Oryctolagus cuniculus: one gene and its partner. Each later gene encodes a partner of the first gene's protein in a complex. Links are inferred from orthologs where the notes say so. Each region holds a gene or a part of one and is shown in the gene's direction. Other genes may lie near its edges.

What was found.
Region 2: the proteins of ITGAM (region 1) and PTN are in contact, whole or in part, in an NMR structure (PDB 8VOH), measured with the Homo sapiens proteins. The link is inferred for Oryctolagus cuniculus from reciprocal best matches to the Homo sapiens genes ITGAM and PTN. Residues at the interface, in NP_000623.2 of Homo sapiens: Pro273, Asp276, Arg277, Gly279, Val280, Ile281, Arg282, Tyr283, Lys306, Pro307, Arg309, Asp310, His311, Ala334, Ile335, Glu336, Gly337, Thr338, Gln339; in NP_001308315.1 of Homo sapiens: Val56, Pro57, Thr58, Ser59, Asp61, Cys62, Gly63, Leu64, Thr66, Glu68, Thr79, Lys81, Thr82, Gln83, Arg84.

What each region holds. Positions count from the first base shown.
Region 1 is NC_091450.1:5,926,953-5,931,387, reverse strand, and holds the start of ITGAM (integrin alpha-M), read left to right. Parts: upstream 1-1,487; 5' UTR 1,488-1,597; coding exon 1,598-1,625; intron 1,626-2,728; exon of another isoform or gene 2,729-2,731; coding exon 2,732-2,837; intron 2,838-4,435.
Region 2 is NC_091434.1:173,077,201-173,081,693, reverse strand, and holds the start of PTN (pleiotrophin), read left to right. Parts: upstream 1-1,573; 5' UTR 1,574-1,921; intron 1,922-4,493.

The sequences.
Region 1 (4,435 bases):
TGGAAGGAACGCTCGCTCTGAAAATGCAGCCAGCGTGCTGGGAGAAGCCAGAGCCATCGGAGAGGGCACAGGCAAGGGGCTCCAGGGGACAGCTCCTGCAGCAGGCAGCAAGGCACCAGCCGTGAGCGTGACTGGGAGATGGGAAGCCCGAGTGAGAAGAGTCTGGCCCTGGTTCCTGATCTGACTGCAGTCATGTGAAAGACTCCAGAGAGAACTTCTGAGGTCAGGCAGTTCACAGCACCGTGAGTGAGAAACTGCTGTTTTCAGCTGCTAAGTTTGGAATGGTTGCTGTGCAGCTATAGATAACTGGAACTTACTCACAGTCCTCCCAATTTGGAAATAGCTGATTTTGTTTTGCCTGCATACACACACACACATATATATGTATATGTACATATGGAGATTTATGTATTTGAAAGAGTGACACACACACACACACACACAGAGACAGAGAGACGGAGAGATTTTCTAGTTTACCCTCTAAATGCCTTCAACATCCAGGGTTGGACCAAGCTGAAGTCAGGAGCCTGGAACTCCATCTGGGTCTCCCATATGGGTGGCAGGAACCCAGCCACCTTCTGCTGCTTTCCCAGGTTCATCAGCAGGAAGCTGGATCAGAAGTGGGGTAGCTGGGACTCAAATAGGCACCATGATATGGGATGTGGGCTTAACACACTTAACATGCTGAGCCACGATACCTGTCTTCAACACACATATATCTTTTTTTAAAAGAATTATTTTATTTATTTGAAAGAGTTACAGAGAGAGGTAGAGTGAGAGCGAGAGTGAGAGAAAATCTTTCATTGCACTGGTTCACTCCCCAAATGACTGCAATGGCCAGACCTGGGCCATCCAGAGCCAGGAGCCAGAAGCTTCCTCTGGGTCTCCCACACGGGTGCAGGGGCCCAAGCACTTGGGCCATCTTCCACTGCTTTCCCAGGCCATAGCAGAGAGCTGGGTTGGAAGTGGAGCAACCGGGACTCAAACCGGCGCCCATATGGGATGCTGGTGCTGTAGGCTGCAGCTTTACCCACTACACCACACTGCCAGCCCCTGCAAAGCATCTTGTTGAGCGACATAGAGACTGGCCTTCCATACTGATTTGATCCACATGCATACTTCAGATACACACTCCAGGAGCCCCACCCCGATCCATTCAGCTTTGTTTTTTTTCTTTACTTTAAAAGCATTGAAACAATTTTGGGAGGGGGAGATTGACAGTCGCGGTGTGTATTCATAGGGTACAGTGTGCAATGTGAACTGATATCATCAGACGAATCAGCATCTCCCCCACTGCAATTGACCTACCCTAGAAGCAAACAGGTGACAGATGGCACCTTTTGGATAGTGATCTTGGTGGTTTGGGCCAGGAAGCGGGGTCAGGAGGGAGAGGGGGCTGTATGCAGTCCCAGGAGTGAGGTCAGGCATGGCCTGGTGCTCACAGGGCCTCCGCCCTCTTCCTTTGGGTCTTTGCAGACTTCTGCTTCCTACTTCTCTATTTTTGGTCTGCCTGGCTTTGGTGGCTTCCTTGAAGTGGCTCAGTGGAGCCTACGACCTCAAGACTCTCACTCCTTCCAGGCCCCTGGCTCTTCCAGCCATGACTTACAGGATCCTTCTGCTAACAGGTGCACCTGGGGCTTGGGGTGGGGGAGGGAGTGGGGTTGAGGGGCTCAGGGTGGAGGAGGGGAATTTTTTGTTTTTGTGGGTGCTGAGAGATGAGTATGTCGGGGTTGGATGTTGCAGGCAAAGGGGATTTGGGGGAGGGTGATGGATGGAGGACCATCAGAGCGTAGAGTGAGAGCAAGGTGGGATGGCCAGGAGGGGCAGAGACGGTGCAAGGCCATTTGGTTGGTCCCTTCACCTCTCATATCAGGAAACAGAGGCCCAGAGAGGTGAGGTGAGCTACCCATGGGTGCACAGCTGCTGGATTCTTCTGCTGTGGTGTTTCTTTTTGGATGCCACCAGACCCCGCCACCTCCCACTGGTCCCATTTCCCAAGGACCCGAGTATGGATGCTTGTTGAATGACAGATGATTCAAAATGATTCCTGTTTCTCTTTATGCCCATGTTTTGTTGGGGAGGGGCAGTGGGGAATGGGTCACAAAGGGAAGGAAATGATTGGAGCCACGTAGGAAGGAAATTGTCAAACAGAGTAAAGCTGTAGGAACTTGACCGTTGGGCAAGTCACTGGGGTGCTGGTACCAGTGGAAGAGCTCCTTGGTGTGCTCTCAGAGGCTGGCTGAGTCCACCCCACGCTGGTCTCCGGAGGCTATGAGCCAGGGTTGGAGATGGAACATGGGCAAATCCACTCCATGATGGAGGAACCCTCGTTCTGTGAAACGCTGTCTTCCACCACCCTCCGGAACCCCATTTATCTCACTAACAAACCTGTATTCAAAAAGAATTGTACTCAGCAATCCATTTCTGAATTCCCTTAACAAAGTTACAGGATACTTCACCAAGTCCTTGGAAAAGTGGAACTGAAAGAGAAGTTTTGGGGGTGCAAAAAATTTTGAAATCTGTGCATAGTTTTTTTTTTCTTTTTTCCATGAGCTTCCTGGAGCCTCTTGGCCTACAAAGGCTGAAACATTTGCTATCTGGGCTTCTATAGAGAGGAGGGCAGGAGGTGTAGACTTCCCAGGCCGGGGCTGGAGAAGCTGGACTGGAAGGTGCCCGGAGCAGGCAGGTGCACCCTTCCTGTACTGATCCTCGCCCCTTGTTCTCCCTCCAGCCGTGGCCTTGTGTCATGGGTTCAACCTGGAGACTGAGAACACCATGACCTTCAGCAGAAACGAGAAGGGCTTCGGGCAGAGCGTGGTCCAGTTTGAAGGCTCCCGGTAAGCATCTTGCACAGAGTCCCCTCCCTCACGCACTTAATCTCTGAGACTTAAATTCATGTGGAAAACAAATCAATTAAAAAAATTACTGGGGTTGGCACTGTGGCGTAGTAGGCTAAGCCTTCACTTGCAGTGCCGGCATCCCATATGGACACTGGTTTGAGACCTGGCTTCTCCTCTTCCAATCCAGCTCCTTGCTATGGCCTGGGAAAGCAGTAGAAGATGGCCCAGGTGTTCGGGCCCTTGCACTCACATGGGAGACCCAGAGGAAGCTTCTGGCTTCTGGCTTTGGATTGGCCCAGCTCTGGCTGTTGCAGCCATTTGGGGAATAAACCAGCAGAAGGAAGACCTTTCTCTCCATCTCTCCCTCTCTCCGTCTGTAACTCTGCCTCTCAAAAAAATAAGTAAAATCTTAGAAAAAAATTACTGATTTTGAAAGGCAGAGTGACAGAGAGTAGAGAAAAAATCTTCTATTCACTGGTTTCACAATCCCAAATGATCACAAAAGCCAGGGCTGGACCAGGCTGAAGCCAAGAGCCAGGAGCTCTGTCCAGGTCTCCCATGTAGGTGGTGAGAATTTGAGTACTTGGGCTCATCTTCTGCTTCCCAGGTGCAGTGGTAGGAAGCAGAGTAGCTGGGATTCGAACTGGTGCTCTGATGTGGGACACAGGCGTTCCAAGTGGCAGCCCTAGGCTGTCTTGTGTTGATTTTTTAGACTGGGTAATAGTCTATAAAAGGATGTTATGAGTCAAATCCTCTTTCTCACCCTCCTCCCACAGTTCCCTTCCCAGGAGGGAGGCTGGCTGATTGTTTCTGGTGTGTTCCCCTAGAGAGATTCCACACCTGCAGAGGTCACCTCCCTTACCCGACCCTGCACGCACTTGGTCGCTTATGTTCCCTGTGCGTGGCAGCCTGCCTGTTGCAGGCACCTCTGTTTGTACATGACTTTTCCTGGGCACGGCCCCGCCCACTTGTCACTTGCTTGTGCTGCTACCGTGGCCAAATCAAGTAGCTGTGACAGCGATTTCACAGCAGGCAAGGGCCTAAAATGCTGACCTTCATAGAAATAACATTTACGGCAGGGATAATTACCTTCATTTTTAAAAAAGATTTATTTTATTTATTTGAAAGACAGAATTACAGAGAGATGTAGAGCCAGAGAGAGAGAGAGAGAGAGAGGTCTCCCATCTGCAGGTTCACTCCCTAAATGGCCGCAACAGACAGAGCTGAGCTGATCCGAAGCCAAGAGCCAGGATCTTCTTCCAGGTTTCCCATGCAGGTGCAGGAGTCCAAGAACTTGGGCCATCTTCCACTGCTTTCCTAGGCTATAGCAGAGAGCTGGATCAGAAATGGAGCAGGGGCCGACGCTGTGGCGTAGTGGGTAAAGCTGCCACCTGCAGTGCTGGCATCGCATGTCCTTGCTGCCCCACTTCCAATCAAGCTCTGCTATGGCCTGGGAAAGCAGTGGAAAATGTCCTGGGTCCGTGAGCCCCTGCACCCACGTGGGAGACCCAGAAGCTCCTGGCTTCAGATTGGCACAGTACTGGCTGTTGCGGCTAATTGGGGATTGAACCAGTGGATGGAAGACCTTTCTCTCT
Region 2 (4,493 bases), on another chromosome or scaffold:
AATGAGAATCTCATGCTTCCTTTATGACCTTTAGCAATGGGCACCACGATCAGCCCTGCGTTGTCCACCTGACTGGTGGCAACATGTTCACCTGTAGATGTGAAGATACAGGTTAGGAAGGAAACTCGGCCCTTGCAGAGTGGTGGGAAACCCTGAGACATCACTTTCAGTAACGGGTCTGGGAAAAATAACCCTAGTCAAGGTCATGCGCATCCCTCCAGTCGGTAGTTACCAGCAGATGCTTCACGGGGAGAATGGGCTCCTGTGAGAACAGGGAAGCTGCAATCTGTGTTTCATTGGAGGTTGGTGTACGCCCTGTGTCTGGAGAGTTTCCTTAAGGGGATAGATAGAAAGTGCCTAATGGAATTTCTGATGCACCTCCTTGTGGAAAAAAAAATAAAAAAAAAATGATTGATTGATTAAAAGCTCTACTTGCCGAGCTGCTTCTTGGCCCCCAGTTGACTCCTTCCTCCGTGGGACACTTCTGCTTGTTGCAATCGATGGAAGAGCCTCAGATCCCTGAAAAGCTACCTGCCACAAAACAGTGCTTCTACTTTGGGATGTCAGGGGTGGTTTTAAGTGAATGGAAAAGAGTTAAATAAGGTACTTAACAAATATTTGTCAAATTGAATAGAAGGACGTGAGCTCAGAACCACAGAAATGGACAAACAAACCACAACCAAATGGGGGGGTGCAGCCGGCATGTGGGCTGTGGCCAAATGGTGATAGCAAGGACATAAAAGGAGCATTGGAAGGAGCTGGAAAGAAGTGACAAGAGACAGAACACTTCACAATTCACTTCTGTAAATGTTAGTGGAAATCTGCTTTGTAAGTCTGAATCATTTCATACAACACTTTTAATCTCATCTATGCCATAAATATTCATCTACATATGACTTCAGCAGTCCCAATTCTACTATCTCAGCATCTTTCTTCCATTGAATGAGATGGAATTCCTGAAAGTCAAGGAGCCCAGCCTCTGAGTTCTATAAAACCTAGCATTTGAGCTCCATTGATCAATCCCCTAAATTCTTTGTCGATGTCAAAGGCTTATCATTACAAAGGCTCATAAAAGCACCACAGAAGCAAAAAAAAAAAAAAAAAAAAAAAAAACCTAAAGGAAAGCAGCACTTAATTAGGAACCTGAAGACATCTGTCACTCTGTGACAATGGAGAAAAGTACTCTGCACACTTTGGGAGGCTCAGGTGGGCTGGGACTGACAGCTGAATTTGGCTGGGGTTCTTCTGTGTAGGGAGGGCGTTTGGGGGTGGGGAAGAACAAGAAGCTGTTTTTTTCATCCTGAATATTATTTTTAAAAAATGACAGGGGCCAAAACTGCAACCTAAAATGTCACTGTGTGTGATAGGTTAACTTGGTAAACTGGGGAATGCGCCCCCGGAAAGCACCGAGCATGCATGGGGTTTGCAAAAGCTAGACTGTGTTCCGTCTCTCTGCTAAAAACAATACAGTCTTACATCTCCTGGCTTCTTGGTTCAAATCCGTTTTCTTGCTCCACGGGGAGAGACTGCCCCTGGAGTAGCCTGCTTTTAATAAGCTTCCCAATCAGCTCTCGGGTGAAAAGCACTCTCCCTCCCTCGCCCAGCCTGCATCCTCTCCCATCCCTCCCATTCTCCATTTCCCTTCCGTTCCCTCCCTGTCAGGGCGTAATTGAGTCAAAAGCAGATCAGGTTCCCCGCCTTCCAGTCCAAAAATCCCGCCAAGGGAGCCCCAGAGCACAGGAAAATCCAAAGTGGAGAGAGAGGAAGAAAGAGACCAGTGAGTCGTCTGTACAGAAGAGCAGAGCAGCGGCCGCCCAGGCAGGAGCAGCAGCGCGCAGGGTACCTGGACTCCAGCAGCGGCAAACCTCGCCCCTTCCAACAAAGGCAGCCTGAGCGCCAGGGAGGACATTTGCAGCTCAAAGTAAGCGGAGGGAATGTGTGATTTCCCCCAGGGGGCTTAAGTGTGCTTGCACCCTGTGCCACTTTTCTGGTTGCCAGCGGATGAAGGTGCTGGGAGTGGGAGAGGGGCTGCCTGGTGTGGTTGCTGATAGGACTGCTCTCAAAACTGACTTACTGCAGACTGAGGCATGTTTTTGGGAGGGCTGTCAGGTCAGGTTTAAGGAGAGTGTGCTTTTCTGAGCAGAAGGAGGGAAGCCTTTGTCGTGGGAAGCCTGCGTTTGGAGGCTGCTCCAGCTGACTGCTACAGAGCTTGCCAGGGTGGGCTGCAGGGTGCATGGTTGCTCTTTGTCAAACCTGAGGCTTTGGGAGGTGTGTGTGTGTGTGTGACTCAGTAGAGAGGAGGCAGGAAGGCAGCCCTTGTGAGCAGGTCTCATTTTCCCATTCTTTTTCTGCTTCTCGGAGTACCCCGGGGGCTTGCCAGCGGATGACCCTTAGCTGGCATTTCTGGGTGACGTGTGGGGGCTTGTTTGTCCCCCTGCCTGGTGACACTGAGCAGCTGGCACTGTCAATCCTGCCTGACAGCCAGGAACACTTCGAGAAATGGTCAAGTCCAAACTTTCCAAGATGCACCATGGTTCCCCATTGCTCATTTGGTTGCCGACTTTGATCCCTGTCCTGCACTGTCCTGCTTGCCCTTTTCCCTTTACCCACAGAAAGCTAGGGTATGTTTGTTACCCCAGGTATACTTTGTTAGACCATCAATTTCTGAATTGACTGTTCTAATAACTTAACAAAATATTTTTTGAGAGGAATGTACCAAATTCTTTCCTTACTTAATGTACAGAACATAAAACTCCCTCTCCTCTTAACACACACGCACACACACACCCTTGTACCTAACAACACAACACCTACATCCACTCAAGAATACACACAGAGTTTATATACACTCTGTTGTTACCTTAGCCCTGTCTAATAGCTGCTTTGTGAAATTGGGGGATACACTGAGACAATAGGTGTGGAGTTGGGGGCGCACGAGAGGAGGAAATGAGCAATGTGAGGGAAGTGCCAAATTCTAGTAGTTTTGCTCTTTTAGTAGTTGAGCTGTCATGGCATGTGTTAGCAGTAGCTTGAGAAAGAGGTTCTGTGTGTGTGTGTGTGTGTGTGTGTTGGAGGGAAGGGCCTGGGAGGAGAGTCAGGAACCACCCAGAAGAGCTTTGTAACTAATAACATAATGGAGCCACTTCATGATCTCATTCAAATGTGGAATTGATGAAACAGCAGAGTGCATGTTAGCCCCTTAATCATCTGGGGATGAATTGATTTGCAGGACTATTAAGAGGTAGTGGGAGTGAAACAAAAGGGAAGGTGATCCACACTGAAAACCAAGCTTGTGTCTCCCATCTTTGGTCTGTTCCTTTCTAAGTTGATTATGCACTTTAAAGACTAAGTCATAAAAAGCGGTTAAAGACCAGCTGAATTCAAAGGAAAAGAGAGTGGATATTACCTTTCTCTCCCTTTGGGACATGCGTTATTTTAGAGTGGCAATATTTGTACTTTATTACTTAAATTAAAAGTTTTTTTAGGTATTATATTTGCTTTGAAAAACATCCAACACCATTTTCTGTGCTTTAAGAAACTTCCATGCTTTATGGTCTCTGGCTGTATACTTTGAATTTGGACAGGCGATCATTCCCCTCCCACTACTTGAAGCCCAGGACACTTTTCCTCTCAGTTTCGTGAAAAACCTCTCTGGGATGAAGTTGTACAGCTGCTTGCAGAGCTGTGCCCCAGTGGTTTGCTTGTGGACACAAATGCATCGCCTTCTCAAAGCCAGAGCTGCGACAGAGAGCAAGCTGCAGCTAACACGGGGCTTTTTAACTGTTGACTTTGTATTACAGGGAATGAACATAATAAACCATATTTAACTATATGCAGTATAGCATATCATATACTATTTTTCTTTTACCCTAGATTTCTTTCCATGGAGTTTGGTACAAGGAACATTAATTTACCGCAAGTTTCCATGTGCCTTATGTGGTCTTTACAAAAAGCAAACTGTAGCAAGACCTGCATTTTTTAAATGGGGATTTTTATTACCATTGTTCCAGTAAAGCCAATGACCTGAATTTTCACAAAAAGTCATCGTTTAAGATAATATAAGAGAAATAGATTCTTAAAGTTTCACAATCACTTGTATTAGCAAAATCAATTTTAGGAATAAAATAAGTGTGAATGTTTTATTTCTCTTTGAACATATTCTTTTTCCATTTAAATGACAATCTCACTTGAATTCCGATTATTTTCCTAGTTGCAGTGTGGTGGTTTTATGGCTACTCAAAAACTTCCCAGGCAACGGGCTTCTTCAGAATCATGTAATAAGTTAATAATCATGTAATAAGTTAATAACCATGTAATACATTAATAATCCTCTAATACGTTAATAATCAAGTGATAAGTAGACTGAGGACCAGAAGTCAGAATCCAGAATCTAATTTGCAGGTCTCAAGCTTGTTAATATGGCAGAATAATAAGGGACATGGTCCTTAACCTCTTTGCTGAAGGTAATGTCAAAATTCAGAGAACTCACAGTG